2 linked regions of the Alligator mississippiensis genome follow. The protein of the gene in region 2 purifies or fractionates together with the protein of the main gene of each other region. This does not show direct contact. Links are inferred from orthologs where the notes say so. Each region holds a gene or a part of one and is shown on either strand. Other genes may lie near its edges.

The links. Proteins that work in one complex are often made in the same cells at the same time.
Region 1: the proteins of SLC7A1 (region 2) and HS2ST1 purify together in Homo sapiens (co-immunoprecipitation; 3 studies listed by BioGRID and IntAct, counting the BioPlex papers as one, with this or other methods). This does not show direct contact. The link is inferred for Alligator mississippiensis from reciprocal best matches to the Homo sapiens genes SLC7A1 and HS2ST1.

What each region holds. Positions count from the first base shown.
Region 1 is NC_081828.1:29,692,174-29,700,699, forward strand, and holds the start of HS2ST1 (heparan sulfate 2-O-sulfotransferase 1), read left to right. Parts: upstream 1-5,258; 5' UTR 5,259-5,477; coding exon 5,478-5,601; intron 5,602-8,526. UniProt on the Homo sapiens protein: Catalyzes the transfer of a sulfo group from 3'-phospho-5'-adenylyl sulfate (PAPS) to the 2-OH position of iduronic acid (IdoA) or glucuronic acid (GlcA) within the heparan sulfate (HS) chain and participates in HS biosynthesis.
Region 2 is NC_081824.1:426,704,344-426,711,723, reverse strand, and holds the start of SLC7A1 (high affinity cationic amino acid transporter 1), read right to left. Parts: upstream 3,345-7,380; 5' UTR 3,102-3,344; intron 1-3,101. UniProt on the Homo sapiens protein: High-affinity, low capacity permease involved in the transport of the cationic amino acids (arginine, lysine and ornithine) in non-hepatic tissues.

The DNA of each region.
Region 1 (8,526 bases), on a different chromosome or scaffold from region 2:
CAATTTTGTCCCATAAACAGATAGCTGAAAGTGAATATATTTGAACAATCATCACACTTTTTTTACATTTAAAATAGTTATTTATACTTGTGGAAAAAGAATATATTTGGCAGGAAACAAGTCTTGACCCTTGAGTTCTATTCTTTATGATACAAATAATCTTATTTGAACTAGGACATATTATTTAGATGTAAACCTTTTGTATGAGATGTTAAATTAGTGTTTGTAAACCTAGTGACATCCTTAAAACTGTGCTACCCATAAGAATAATGTCTCCTATTTTCAAGAAGATAAAAGTCAGGAAGCCACTAAAGATATACACATAATAAGAACCCTATCCTCTCTGAAGTCTATTTTTGCATACACTCCTAATCAGCTTTCCCTCTAAGATGTGCAGGTGCACAGGTGCCTGGCAGCATGGTATGAGTGCGCCTGTGTGGCCACACACACCACACTGCTTAGAGGTTAATTTCAATTTCCTAGGAACACAAATAGCATAGCAGCTGGGCTTGGAAAAGTATGTGGTGACTAGCCAATTGCTGGGCCGCTGTGGCGGAGGTGCAAGGGGGAGCACTGGGCCCAGGTCAACCCGGCAGTGCGGGGGGACGGGAGCAGCGGGCTCAGGGCTGACATGGGGGAGCAGGGGTGAGGGAACAGTGGGCCTGGGCTCAACTGGGGGAGGTGGCCTGCTCCTCCCCTCTCCCTGCAGCTGCCATGTTGGGCTGGGCTGGGCTGGGCCAGGCCCACTGTCTCCCTCTCCCATGCCCCTCCCCACCCCTCACTGCTGCAGCAAGCCGGCTTATCTCCCAGCTCAGGCTTGCTCCCCTACCCGCGTTGGGCCTGAGTCCAGTCCTCCCCTGGCCTCACCATCACCACTGATGCCACAGTGCGCCACATCAGGCCCACTCAGGGACAGGAAGAATGGGTTTGGGGCTGATGCAGGGGACAAGGGGTGGGGGAGGAGGCTCACTCCTTCCCTCCCCCAGCCACTGCTGTGTTGGGCTGGACCCACTGTTCCCGCCCCCCACCACCATGGTGAGCTGGCTTTTCCCCCCACTCGGGCCCGGGCCCACTCCCCCCCATGTTACCTGCAGGGAGCAGGGCTGTCTGTCAGCCAATCAGAGCGTGAATAAAGCATACGGACAAACAGATTTAGGCTTTTATAATATTAGAATGGTGTGGGCTCTAACTGAGTGATAATAAATTAAGGTAGAACATATCCAAGCAAAGTTTCAAGTTTGTATTAAGGTTATAGGAGAAAGGTAATTATATGTCTATGGGGGGGATGTATGTAGAAAACAAATTACAATTCTAATATAATGGTAATCAACAAGGATCCTGGTTTGCTGTCTAAAAATGCCAAATTCTCTGATAAAATTCCCAAATTTGCTAATTAAAAAACCCAAAATCTGCATTTCTCTGTGAATTAAATTATATATACCTATGTATTCTAGCCTTTGATACTTTTTAATCAAAAAAATCAGAGCTGTCCCTACCCTCTTCACTCACCAGGACATGGGTCCAGTTGCATCTGTCCCCCCTGCTGCTTTGTTGTGCTGAGCAGTCCTGATATGTTGGTGTCCTGCTCCTGCCCATTACATTGCTCCTCACTCCCAAGCCACAGCCTGCCCCCCACCTCTCCTCTAGCCCCACTGATGCCCTTCACTCCCCAACCCATAACCCTCCTAGCCCTGCTGATGCCCCTCACTCAGGAACCACAGTTCCCTGACCTTGCCAGTGCCCCTCAGTCACAGCCCACAGCCCCTTGGCTCTGTTGGTGCCCCTCACTCCTGACCCACAGCTCCCTAGCCCTGCTGGTGCCCTTCAGTTCTGTCCCACAGCCCCTTGGTCCTGCTTGGGCCCCTCGCTCCTGAATTACAGTCCCCCGCTCCCAACCCGCCAGTGTGTGGGGAAGGGGAGGGTGTAAGCACAAGAGACATGTGAGGGGAGTGGGGGCACATCCCCGCCCCTGAAATTTCTGTGCCCACAATGGGGTGCCAGCTACAGCTGAGCCAGATGAGCTCCAGCTCCAGACAGGAGTCACCTCCATGGCCCAGTGGGCAGGACCTGGCACAGGAAGGAGTGCCACTATGGCCACCAAGGTGAGGCACCCCCTGCGCACCTGGCACCAGCAGGGACACAACTCCGTGCTGCTGCCAACACTGCACCTCACCTTGGTGGCCCTCACTCCCCTCAACCCCAAGCATCTCCTTACAGGCTTGAACTCCCGTGTTTTTCTCCTTTAGAGGAGAAATCTGTGTTTTTCTCATTTAAATAAGAAAAATCTACATTTTTCTCTGTTAAAGGAGAAAATCCTCACTTTCCTGCAGCCAACATAAAACCTGGATCCCTGGTAATCAATTATGATGATCACTTTAGTTTAAGAATCTCTACACACAGTATTAATTCTGGTTAATGCTCAATAGTCAAGAAACTCATCTATTTTCCTCACACTTAAATGATATAATTTGCCTTTTCTTTTCACTTCACCCAAACCAACTACTTGTGATCCTCCTACTTTGCCTTGCCTATTCCCCCTCCAGCTTTAATTAGGCCAGTAGAACTGGGAGAAGAATGTCATGAGAAAGCCAGGCTCTCAGGTTATTTGTCACTCCTGCTTAATAGCCATTGTCAAAAAAAAGCTACAAGTAAGTCTCTGCTCCATTATGGAACACATTTGCTGGGTGACAACTGAACTGAGTCTGTGCCAGGTCTCTCTTCAGACTACAACAGAAGATCTGAGACCACCCCCGCCTTGCCCCAGAGCACATTTGGCTCTCTTCTACTCTCCACATTTCAGCATTAACACTTGCAGCATGCTGGAGCCAGGTAGGGTGCCCAGCCATTTCTCATACTCAAATATCCAGAGCTGAGGTGCTTACTGGGTTTCAGCACCAATCCTGGCTAGATTCCAGCTGGCAAAGGTAAGAACATGCAAATGGGACATGGACACAATGGTTTTACTAGAAATAGACTGAGCACCAATCCATAAAGTACCTAACTACATCTAGGTGTCCAATGACACCTAAAAGCTCTCAAAAAGTAAGAAGTATTCATATTTTTTGTTAATTTCACTGTGTGGGTTCAAATTCTACATACAATATATGGTGGAGAGGGACATTAAATAAGGTTCTGTTCAAGGGCTCAACTCATTACAGCAGCCACAACTCAGAATTAGTACCCAAATGTAAATCAGATACTAGTGAGAGCCAATGTTTTATCAGCTGGGGCCACCAAAGGCTGGTCTATGTTTGAACAGACTATTAATTTCAGCACAGGTCTACATGTGAAAAAGCTTCACTTCAGGGTAAAAAGAGTGGCTAAGGAGATTTAACATTTTATTGACTCCTTTTCTACTCTTTATTTTTTTCAGTACAGGGATGTGTAAGGATCCTACAGTTCCTGTGCAGTCCTACAATTTCTGTGCTCAGATGCTTGGGAACGTCCGAGTTTTCTTCCCCCGCTGCTTTGGAGTTATGAGTTAAGTTTTAGAGAACAGGGTCTCAGCTCTTAGCTGGGACAATGACAGGACAAGGGCCCAGCATGTTTCTTTTTGTAGCACTACAAAAATGGAAAATGAAGTGCTATCAGCAGCTTCATGTTCAAAACTCCTGCGAGTCTCGTACAACTTTTTTTGTACGAAGTTACAAAACGGCACTTTCTCTGGCTCCTTGGTTCACTCCTTCAAAGGACTCACAGGTGGGCTTCCCCCAACAGTTGCTGCCATCCTGGTGGCAACATGTGGGCAGCAAGAATCCTGAGCCAGTCACTTTCCCTCTTGGAGGAGGGCAGGGGACTGAGGGGTTGCAGGGCAGGCTGCCATCCATGACCCACCAACACTGCCCTGGCTACTGCTCTGTTTGGAAGTTTAAAAAGCACAGGCAGGGGCAGCCCAGGAGCTTTTTAATGTTCCCACTTTCAGGCAGCTTGTGAGCTCTTGAAGTTTGCAGCTGCCCACCCCTTGGGATGCTTAAAGGGTGCCTCTGGTGTCCCATGCTGCCCGCATGTATCTCAGCCCCTGGCTGCTGGACCTTTGTAAGGTCCCAGCTGGCAAAACTAGGCCTCCAATATCGGATAGAGCCCCCCCACCCCAGTTATTTTAAACAGCAACAATTTTGTCCCGGACCTGCCAATTCTGGGGCACATAAGGCACTCTTAGCAGGGAAGAAAAGCCTGAAAGCCCTTCATCTGGCTAAGGCGGCGGTTAGCGGGCTACAGGGAGCTTCTGCAGGGACTTCACGGTGCCCGCCTGACGCGGCCGAGGCGACCTCGGGTTGCAAGAGGTAGCATCCGCGGGCGCTGCTCCGGCTCCAGCCACCCGCAGCACAACAAGGGCCCCGGCGCTCCTCGCCGCCCGGCTGGCCTCGAGCGGGCAGGCCTGGGGCGGCTCCTCCGCCTCTCCGAGCGGCCACGTCTCACCCGCCCGCCCGCCCGCCCGCGCCCTGCCCCGTGCACGGGCTGCAGCCTCCCCCGGCCCGAGCGGCGCCCCGCCCGGCAGCTCAGGGACGAGGAGACTGGAACCGGCCCTCACCGCCTGCAGCGCCGCCAGGAGACAAAGCCAGAGGCGCCCCGGGCCCGTCGCTCCGGCAACCGCCGCCATCTTAGTGCAGAACCGCCACTGCCGGCAAGGCCGCGTCAGGACCTCGCCCGCTCAGGGTGCCCTCCCGCCGCCTGCTGCGGGAGAACCAAAGTGTGCCCCTGAGCCCTTCGCGTCGTTGAGGAAAACCGTTGTCCCAGGGTTGCCTTTGGGAAACGCCTGACTACAACCAAGAAACTCCACTCAGGGTAGAAGCTTGTTATGCAGGTGGCGGATCCCGATCTCCATTGGGCATCACAACAGACAGTCCTTGGAAGGTCCTTCTCGTTCTTCCACTCATAACGGACTAACGTCAACCCTCACACGACTGACGCACAGTTCGGCCAATAGCAACAAGACATGGCCGAATGCGGTTGTCTGCGCCCCTATGACTAGCTGAGCGATGAGGCGGGACCACGGCATAGCCCATCCAATCCAGAAGGAGCGCATGTAGGCGGGGCGTCGGGCCCTACGGACGTTCGTGGGGGAGTTTTTGTGGACGCGGTCACTGCGTGGGCCGCCCAATGGGGTCGGGCGAGGGCGGGGCGACGGTGAGGCTGCCCAATGGCGACGGGCGTGGGGGCGGGCTCTGCGCGTGGCTGGTCAATGGGAGGGCGCGGGGGCGTGCGCGCGGCTGGGCGTTCGGTTGCTGAGCAGCGCACGCAGGCGGGGGGAGGGGCGCGGGTGACCGAGCGTGCTCGGGGCCGGGCCGGGCCGCGCGGGGGGCGGGCGGTGCTCGGCGGGGATGTGAGAGCCGCGTCCCTCCGCGCGCGCCGGGGTCCCGCTCCCTGCTGGCCTCGCTCGCTCGCTGTGTCCCCGCGGCGGCTGCGGCTCTTCCCGGCCGGGCCCCGCGTTATGTCGTGATCCCGGGCGGGCGGCGCTGCTGCTGCTGCTGCTGCTGATGGGGCTGCTCAGGATTATGCTGCCGCCCAAGTTGCAGCTGCTGGCCGTGTTGGCCTTCGGCCTGGCCGTGCTCTTCATCGAGAACCAGATCCAGAAGCTGGATGAGTCCCGCGGCAAGCTCGGTGAGCTGCGCCGCGCCGCGCCGCGCCGGGCTGGGCCAGGCCGGGCCAGCGTGTGGGGGGCTGTGGGAATGGCGGGGGGAACAAAGGTGGAGCTGGCAGGGGAGGGAGGCGATGACAGTGCCAGGAGCTGGGAAGGGAAAGCCGCTCCCCACCCGCTTCCCAGTGCGGAGCTCGCTGGGACCGGCAGGACGGCGAGGTGGCTTCTCCTACATGGCCCTTGTGTTTACGTGTCTGCAAATCCTGTCTGACGGGCTTGCTACGACTCCGGGGGGACTGTGCGGAAGAGGCTGTAAGCAGGGGAGACAGCGGCCAGGGCCTCACGCTTCACTCCGACGGAAATTCTGCATAGGGAGAGCCAGCGCCGGGGGTTGGGGCTGGGACGAGATGTGTATTTCTAGGGAGTCTCAATGCACTTTTCCCAAAAGAGCAAAAAGGGAAGGGAAAAAAAAGCCAGAGACGGTTGTTGTTGGTGACTTGTCGGAGCTGCCGGCCTGTGTGTGTGTGTTGTGCAGCCCAGCTGGAGGTTGAGGCACAGCTGTGGTGCTGGAAGCAAGTCCAGCTCTGCTTTTCCCTGCTTCTGGACATATTTATCTGAAACGCCCTTATTTCCAGTTCAAACTTTTTAATAAGGCTTGGACCTAATCCAGACATGTGGAGGTGGAAGAGGAGTACTCAAAAATGTGCGGGTTAAACCAAATCAAGTGAAATCAGTGGGTTGTGTGTAACAGGCAAGAAGCATGATTTGTTTCACCCTCATTGAATGCAGGATTTATTTACCTCTGCTCAGTAAATGGAATTACTGCAGGACTCCTGTTCAGAGCTAAAGTTGTTAAACTGTGTAAATTTAACCCTTTCCCCTTATGTTTGTAATTTTTACTTTTAATTTCTAACAGTACTTTTCCAGGGGTATAGTAAATGTCAGACTTCAGAAGCACTAAAGGGCTGCATAATTTCAGCAGAATGAGGAGATGCTGTTTTTAACTCAGTTCATTTTATTGTAACCATGAATTGGGGTGCAGTAGGACTTCTAAAATACCAAAGAACAGAGGGTTAGGCTATACATGATTTTGTTACCTCGCGCTTTAGGTAGGTAACCTTATCCATATTAGTTCATTATAGTATATTTCTTAACAGATGAATATTTGTGGCTTGTACATATACAGAGGAAAGAAGGGACAGTTTCTAGGTTTTTTTGGTTAGAAATGGAGGTGGACTTTTAGTGAAATGACAAGTTTTACTGTAATGGTGTTGGAGTGGTGTTGTAGCCTGTCTAGGAAATATATAAGAAGCAAGGGGTTATTTTGACATCTCAAAAAACCCCTTGCTGCTTATATGTTTTATTGAACCCAACCATTGTTGGGAGATGTTAGGTAAGCTTCAGGTATAAAGTGAAGAAGGGCACTTTATGGCTGAAAATTTGTTTTATGTAGTTTCCAACTAAACAGTTGCTTCAGTAAGAGATCTCATTCATACCTATACACTCTGTTGCTTTTTGAAAGTTTAACTGTATCCAACTTCTGGAAGAGATGAACTCAAAATAAAGGTTAGTGGCATTCATAGACTAGGTCAGTGATTCTCAACCTTTGTAAACTCATGGTGCTTCTCTGTAGACTCAGCACCCATAAGAAAATGCTAGCTCCTTGTTTTCACCCTTTCTTTGACTACAGAAAAATAATGCAGCAGTTCTGTTGCAAAAACTCAAAAAGACCAGAGCAGGTCAGAATATTTTTAACACTATAGATTCCTGTATGAAAACTCTGGGTTTATCTTGTGAATCATGTTTGCATACCTCATAGTACAAACATTTTGTGGCATCCATAGCTCCACAGTTTGAAAAGGATGTCAAAGTACCCCATGGTGCCAGTGCACCTTGTTTAAGACCCACTGACCTAGCTATTGGAAATCAGAAGCCTTTAAAAAGTGTTTGACTGTATGAGTTATCTATGAGTTTTTTACCTCTCAGTTTAACAATATGTTACTAATATGTGAAAGTTAGAATAATTTGCTTTTGCTTGGTTGGTTTGTCTTTTTGCTGGATTATTTAAACAAGTGTTAAGAAAGAAAGAAGAACACACTGGGATAGTTTAAATAGACATTGTTGATAAAGCAGTCAAGGATTAATGAAATTCCATAAAAGTGTATTTTTAACTGCTTGGCACCACTAGCTGCCCTACATCCATTGCTGGCAATGGGTGTCACGCCAAGAAAATACAACTCCCAGCAGAAAAGGATTAACATAATGCATTGTGGGAATAAAGGGTTTTGCTGGTAAGACTTCCTTTTACTTCACCTTAATAGATATACATTGGACACGTTTAGGTTACATATTTAGAGGATTAAAATACGCACAACTCAGTGCACAACTTCAGGACAAGAATCCAATCACTTTGTTCTACTGATGGAGTTTTTATCTCTTGGAAAAGGGGGTAATCTCTATTTTGAACTTGATATTAAAATATAACGGAAAATGGTGCCTAGTAAGGGACATGTCAATGGTTCTTGAGCTGCATGGGAGGAGAAACTAGAGCTGTGTAACAACTTATTAGGCTGTTTATACTCTGGATTAGGAAGTACTTTTATATGAGAGGCCTGTTACTACAATGATGCATGCAGAAGTATGCCACCCCATGTGCATGTATGTAATCTAAATATTATAATAATAATAAAACCTGAGGGAACTCGTAAGTTTTTTTTTTTTTACTGTGAAAATAGTCTGGATGTTTTAGTGCCATTTTCACCTCACTGCAGTACAGAGTTCAGTTGCCCTATATTGAAATAATCAGTTTTGATCCAACACAATGGACCTTGAAGGGTAAAATAAACAAAAAACCTAAGAAAAAAAATAATGAAGATTAGTGAGCCCATGAACTGATGAGAATAATGACTGCATTTTGACTGAAAGGCCTATGAAAATATCAAGTTGGG
Region 2 (7,380 bases):
TCTTCAGATTCAGTCAAATGGAAAATCAGGGACAGGGATCCAAATCGAATCACTGTCCCCAATTCGGGCCAAATTCAAAGTAATCCTATTGAAGCTCTTATTAATCAGACTAAAACTTCCAGGGAGTCTCATGTATCAGCATCCCCGTGCTTAAAATGTGGTGGCAGGGGCGCTTTATCTGAAGCTCATTCAACAAGCTTTACATAAAAGTGCCCCCACCGCCATTTTTAAGCACAGGAACGCTGATGCACAAGATGCTGGAGGCTGCTGGAGCGTGGTAATTACCATGATAGAGTCTGCTCCGATGTGCTGTAATTACAGTGCATGGGAGCAGCCTTGCTGCTCATGTATAGGCACCCTAAAGTGTCAAGCATACTTTGATGTGGTGATTTTTAAGTGTTTCATCAGATACTTTTAGAATCTTTAACATTTATATGCAACACTTAAACTTACCCTACACATTTTTAAGTTGCAGAAATTGCCTTTGTGCCACCATACATTTTTTTATGGCACCATAAAACCTGAGCTAACAGATGTCTACGTCCTTTGTCATGCCACAAAATGACCAAATTTGTGGTTGTGACAATTCACTGAAATAGTTTTGTGCTCTCCTCCGCGCCCCCCCCGTTAGTTTATGGCTAGTGAGCGTGGGAAGTCCAGGGCTGCCTGTACTCCTGGGATACATTCTCAAACTGCCACAGGATTCAGGCCCCTGCCACTCCTAGGAGCTCAACCTGTGGGACAAGTGACATCAGTTTTTTCTAATCAATCAGAACAACTGTGCTTGGACATATCCCAACAGAGCTGATAATGCAATGAGAACTACTTTTATTTTTAGCCTCAGGGTCCTATCTGTTTGCTGAGAAAGGAGGGTTTTACATAAGTCTTTTCTGTCTGAAAGCTGGGGTAAAGGAAGGGGCTGGAAGTGCAAAATTCCAGTGTGCAACCTGAGTCTCAGGAAGCGATATTCCTGACAGCCTGAGGAAATCTCACTAAAAACAGAGCCATAAATGATGGTGATAGTGACTGCATCTCCCAATGTCATTCACTTGCTAGAAAAGAGTCTGCCTAACTTATCTGAAGTACACTCCTACTGCCTAATTAAGATGGCTCTCTTGTGCCATTCTTCTTTGACCCAAGAGCATAATCTGCATAATGTAATAATATATTTAATGTCTAGTTACCTTCCAGGATAAAAATGGAATTTTATTTTAAATGGTTTGAGAGAACTTCTAGCTAATCACTAAGTATTTTGCTTTATTAAAATCTGATTGTATCCATACCTATGTCTCCTACACTGTGTTGTTGGAGAACCTATCGGTCTCACACTTCAGGGGGGGGAAAAAAAAAAATACAGTCATTTATGGATTTCAAATGATCTTATGGTATGCTTTCCTTTTAAAGGAAAGGGAAGATAACCCAGCATGGATGGTTCGGGTCAGTGCAGAACTGGGGAGGAAAGGAGAGGTCAAAGATGGCTAGTCCCCAGATCCCAAGCAACCATTCCAGCATGTGGGACCACCAATGTTAGGGAAACCCAGTCATGATCTTTTTCTCAGATATTATCCCAGCAGACATGCCAGCTGCCTTCTTAGTAACTGTAGGTCACCCAATGATTTCCCAAAGCAGAGAAATGTTCACTGATGTAGAGAAGTCAGGCTTAAGGCTGTTCTGTTTCAGTAAAGCAGCTCCAGCTGCTCTTTGTGCATGGTCATGGCAGAGTTGCCAGAATACTTGTATTTCCTCAAATAACCTATAAAATGCACAGACCACTACAAATATAGATGGACGGAGGGATGCAAATAAGGTACTCGAGTCTCCAATCGAAAAGTATCATACTTTGCATGTGAGGGTATCAGCAACCAGAGGTTAGACGATTCACATAATAAACTTAACTCGCTCACACAATGAAAAAGGAGTAAGCTATCAGAGATGTTCTTAGACTTAACTCTGCAAATAAGGTCTCCCGCTTAAATGAACAGGAAGTCTCATAAGTTCCTCTCTTCACCACAAGGCCCTATTAAATTTGAGCCATCAGTCCCGCCTAAGGCCACGGCAATGAATAAACTAACACATTTAGAAGCTGTTCTAAAATGGCTGATGCCATACACATGTGTATGATGCAAGAGCTAGCAACCAAATTGAAAATAATTTTTACTAGGGATGGTGCCAAGTCTTTTATTCTATCACAAGCAGGATGTACCCCTCTCGCTTCCCTTCCATCACCAGCTGTACGTGTGGCCTAAGCAAGGAAGGCTGTGCAGGCAGAGGTGCTTTCTGCCCTTGGGATGCTGCCTGAGAGATTTTTCCTGCAGCAAGGGTGGGGTTAGGCAGACAAGGCGGCAAGAAAGAAAGAAAGAAACACGCACACACACACACACACTTGAAAAAGGGAACAGTGAAAGGAAGTCGGCTAAACTCGCAAGTCACGCTTGCACGTGTGCGTTACACCGTGACATTGCCCATTACCTTGCAAGGCAAGCAAGTAGCCATAGGTCTGGGGCTGGACCCTTGTCTTTATGCCGCACGTTTCTACAGCGCCGGGCACCTGGCAACGACGGGAACAATACCCCACGCATCGGGCCCCACACATGTGCGCCAGTCTCCTCAGCTCTCCCTTTCTTCCGCCTCAAACAAAAACAAGCCAGGAGGAAACTACCCAACCCGTGTGCAACCGCCTACAGGCAGCCCCCCGGCGAGAAGCCAGGCCCGGCCCTCGCAGGCATCTCGGGGGTTTCCGCCCACGGGTGAAAACACCGGACAGCCGGTCGGGCATCATCTGAATGCCAACAAGGAGGGGGCATGGCGGAGGCCTACCCAAAACTTCCTATGCAATGATGGGGGGGGGGTGAAACCTGAGTGCCCCGCGCGGGCCGTCTGAGGGAAGGAAGAAGGGGGCCGGCGAGGCGCGGGCTGAGGCGGGAACCTGCTCAACCCGCCTCGGCGCCCAGCAGCGCGGCGACGAGCCGCACGTGGGCCCGCATTGTGTGCGCCGCTGGGGAAGGGGCAGCCCGGCACTCGCCGCCCGCCCGCCCCGGTTGCATCATGCGCCGCGCTGCTACGCGGGGCAGCCGCCACCCTCAGCCCCACGTCCAGCTCACCTGCCGAGGCGGCGCCTGCTGCTGCTACTGCTGCCAGAGCCGGTTGCAGCGGGGCGCGCGGGTCTTGTGCACCTGGGCCGGGCGCTCCCCTTCTCAAGCAGCGGGCGGGGCATAGCGGCGCGGGCGGGCGAGGCGGGCTCTGCTACTGCGCTTGCGCCGGCTGTGGCTCCCTGACTTGTGTGCTGCTTCATTTTCTGACCCCTGCTTCAGATGCTCCTCTGCTTTCCGCTCCGTCTCCATGTGCTGCTTTGTTTTCCTGTGCTCCCTGTCCCGCCCCCCCAGCTGCTGCTCTGCTCTCCGCTCCCTGTCCCATGTGCTGTGCGGTGCACAGAGCCTGCGCCTGCCCCTGCCCCTGCCCCTGCCCTTGGTGGAGACAGGCCCGCCCCGGCCCACGCAACCGAACCTAACACTGCCCCGGTGGTGCTCGCCCTTTCCGCCCAGGGAGTTGGAGGGACAGCGCTCAGGCCAGCTGTGGGCCGGATCCGGCCCCGGCTCACGTGGAGGAAGGCAAACAGTCACATGGAGGGGGGCAAGGGGAAGGGACGCTGCTGTGTGGGGAAAGGGCGCTTGGCCTAGCCCTGCAGCGGTGGGAGGGGGCATAGGCCTGGCCCCTGTCCAGCTCGGGGGCCCAGCTCCAGTCTTGCCCCAACCTGGCTATGCGGAGGGAAGAGGACATGGCCCGTCTTCCACCGTCCATGCTGGCCTTGGAAATTGGGATTTTGGCAGTAGGGGAAGGTGGCTGTATTAATTGCCATGGCTCTCCCACTGCCAAATTTCCCAACCCACGGGAAGTCCTGCAGGCCAAATGTCACAGCTCTGCAGGCTGGAGGTTGAGCACCACTGCATGAACAGAGTAGCATCTTTTTAAAAGAAATAGGCAGGAGTTAGACAGAGCTGGTACCTGCTTCGACAAATCTGTGGCATGCCATCATCCTGGTGGTCCCATTAGTTTATGCAGAGCCTAGTGGGGGTCTTGCATGACGTTTCCCTGCACAGGCTGAGGAAATATCTAACTACTCAGGGGTTTCCAACTGAGGTTTGTGGATTGCACTGGAGCAGTTCAATTAGAATTTGATGTTTCTCAAGAAAATTTGAAACTTGACAACGGTCTGTCGGTCTAAAAAGCTTATGAACTATTGGTCTAGATAGATTCACCATATAATGGCCATACTAACTATTGGATTACAGTTTTCAAGTCATTTATCAGACTGCATTGTCAAACTGAGAAGACATTTTAAATGAGATTCTACTAAGAAGGGGGGGGGCGTTCATCTTGGGTTCTACTGTATTTAGTATTTTTATTAACCATTTAGATGAGTTCATATGTAAGATTTACAGATGAGAGCAGGCAGGGAGGGTTTGTAAGCAGTTTGGAGGGCAGGATTATCATTCAAAATTATATTGATAAATTGGAGAAATGGTCAGTAATCAATCAGATAAAACTCAATGAAGATAATTGCAAAAAAGTACTGCTCATAGGAAAGAGAAATTAAATGGATCAGTGCAAATTAGGAAATAATGGACAAAGCAACTGTATGGCAGAAAAGGATCTGGGAATGATAGTGAATCACAAACTAAATACGAGTCTGCCATATTTGGAAAAGCGCAGGCTCAGGGGCAATCTGATGGCCACCTATAAGTTTGCAAGGGGAGTCCACCAGGATCTGGGGGAACGTTTGTTCACCAGAGCGCCCCAAGGGACAACAAGGTTGAACGTTTATAAACTCCTACAAGACCATTTCAGGCTGGACATAAGGAAGAATTTCTTTACTGTCCGAGCCCCCAAGGTCTGGAATAGCCTGCCATTGGAGGTGGTTCAAGCGCCTACTTTGAACGCCCTCAAGAGAAAATTGGATGCTTATCTTGCTGGGATCCTATGACCTCAGCTGACTTCCTGCCTCTGGGACAGGGGGCTGCACTCGATGATCTTCCGAGGTCCCTTCCAGCCCTAATGTCTATGAAAGTCTATGAAATACCATGCATTTGGAAAAAAGGCAAATTTCATTCTGAAATCTATTAACAGAAGTGTTAAACATGTAAAACGTAAGAAGTAATTATTCTACTCTGCTCTGCCTGGTGAGGCCTCAGTTGGAGTACTACATCCAGTTTTTGGGAATCAGATTTTAAGATTGATACAGAAAAATTGGAGGAGAGCAATCAGAGAAAGGTAAAAGATTTGGAAAATATCATCTATTAGAAAAGGCTGGAAGAAATTGATTTGTTTAGTCTAAAAACAAGAAGACTAGGGATGCAGGAATATGCTGCTAACAGTCTTCCAATATTTTAAAAGTTGCTATAAGGAAGATGCTGATCTATTGTTTATCTCATCTAATAAGTAGGACAAGAAGTAATCAGCTTAATTTGCAACAAAGCAGAATTAAGTTGGATATTAGGAAAACCTTTTTTAACTCTAAGCATAGTTAAGTTGTAGAGGAAATCTAGGGAGGTTGTGACATCCCTGTAATTGGAAGTTTATGAAAAGATTAGACTAACATCTGTGAGAAAGTCACCAGGAGAGACTCAATGACCTGCTGAAGCCCCTTCCTCTTCTATATTTTTGTAATTTAAAGACTCAACTCTGCAATATTTGAGTCCCTTTCCACAATAAGTCATACATCCTTACCTGGCAGGGGAAATACCATGATCAACTAGGGCGGTTTTTCTAGGGACAGGGGATAAACACTTTTCTGGCATGGGGTAGTATTTGCAGAGGTAACATATAGTTACCCTCCCAAGTTCATTGCCCTCGGGGAAGATCTTGGCTTTACGTCCACTTTATGGAAATGGCAGACTTTTCCCTAGCTTGCTTCTGCAGCCGTATGGCTGAGGGCAAGTGAAACTCAGGGGCATCTGAACCCCAAGCCTTGGGCCTGCACGTAGGATGTCCACCAAATGATTTGGAAACACTGAAGCCCCAGGTAGGGGTGGAGGATGTTTGCCAGTTGCAGGGCCACATATGGTTCTTGAATGACTTACGGATTTGGAATTGATTTGGCTTGGAACACGAAAATTTTTACTTAAAAAAAGGTCATACATCCTGAAATTTCAGGATTTTTTCCTCATCTTCCTTGAAAATGGGAGTTAAATTGGTTTTATTTTACCTTTCTCCAAGTTGGTAAACCTTGTAATATACCCACTTGAGCAAATAAACTTAATGGAAATAACTGGAAGATCTTTCCTTCTTTGGTGGTAGTCTCATTATTCATGCTTCCTGGTTTATTCTACTGCTTTTGTTCGGTTTCTGGCTTGGTAAACACAGGAATTCAGTAGTAGATCATCAAGGAACCAGAAATAAAAGACAGATTCCAGGAAAGCTGGAGTTGGGATGAAGAACACCTTTAATTCAAACTGTGTTTGAATTATTCAAAAACTTTATAAGCCAAATTTTATTCTCACAGCCTAATGAATGTGGAGAACACATACTGAAGTTAATGGAGTCACTCCAGATTTAGAGCAGGATAAGCAAGAGGAGAATGGCATCCTGCACATTTAGACAATTGTATGGGAATGACAGTGTCCCAGAATATGCTCTGCTGGATTTGTTGGAGGGGATATTGTAATATAAGCACTTGCACAGTAATATAGGACTGTTTTTGTTTCTGAGGCCAAGATCTATAGTCTCACCCTCGTCTCTGGTAATGTTCTTAGAAAAAGTGGAATCCATACCCTATAACTATTTTAGGGCACTCAGATGATTGTCAAAATTGTTATTTTACCCTATGTTGCTAATTTCATTCTTTCACCTAATAAAGCACTTGGACTCATTTTCTCATTCATCTCTCAAAATGATCTCCACCCATTAGGATTTCCTGGGTGTGGTGGATGGATTCCTCTGTTCATTTGTGGAGAATAAGGTGATGATTTTATTGGAAAATGTTTCATTCTTTAAAAAAAAAGCACTCTGTGCATGAAAAAGACCTTTGTACAATTTGCTCTTGAAAAAAAACATTGTTTCTGGCAAAACTGTATGGCATATTCTAAACTGTAATAAGAGCTCCTTGGCCAAAAGTCCAAGTACTTAAAGGTCCAGAACTTGATTTTGAAATACTTTAAGATCAGTCAGTGGTTTTCCCCATGAATGCTGCATACTCTGCAACATAAATTCTGTATCCATGTCCTCTTCCTCTTGAAAAAAAAACTTTTAAGTACGGGTTACACGTTGGCAGATTTATCAGAACAAGCAGGACAGTCTTAAATTTTAAAGGAATTTTAACATAGAATCACAGAAAATTAGGAATGGAAGGGACCTCAAGAGGTTATCTAGAGCAACCCCCTACTC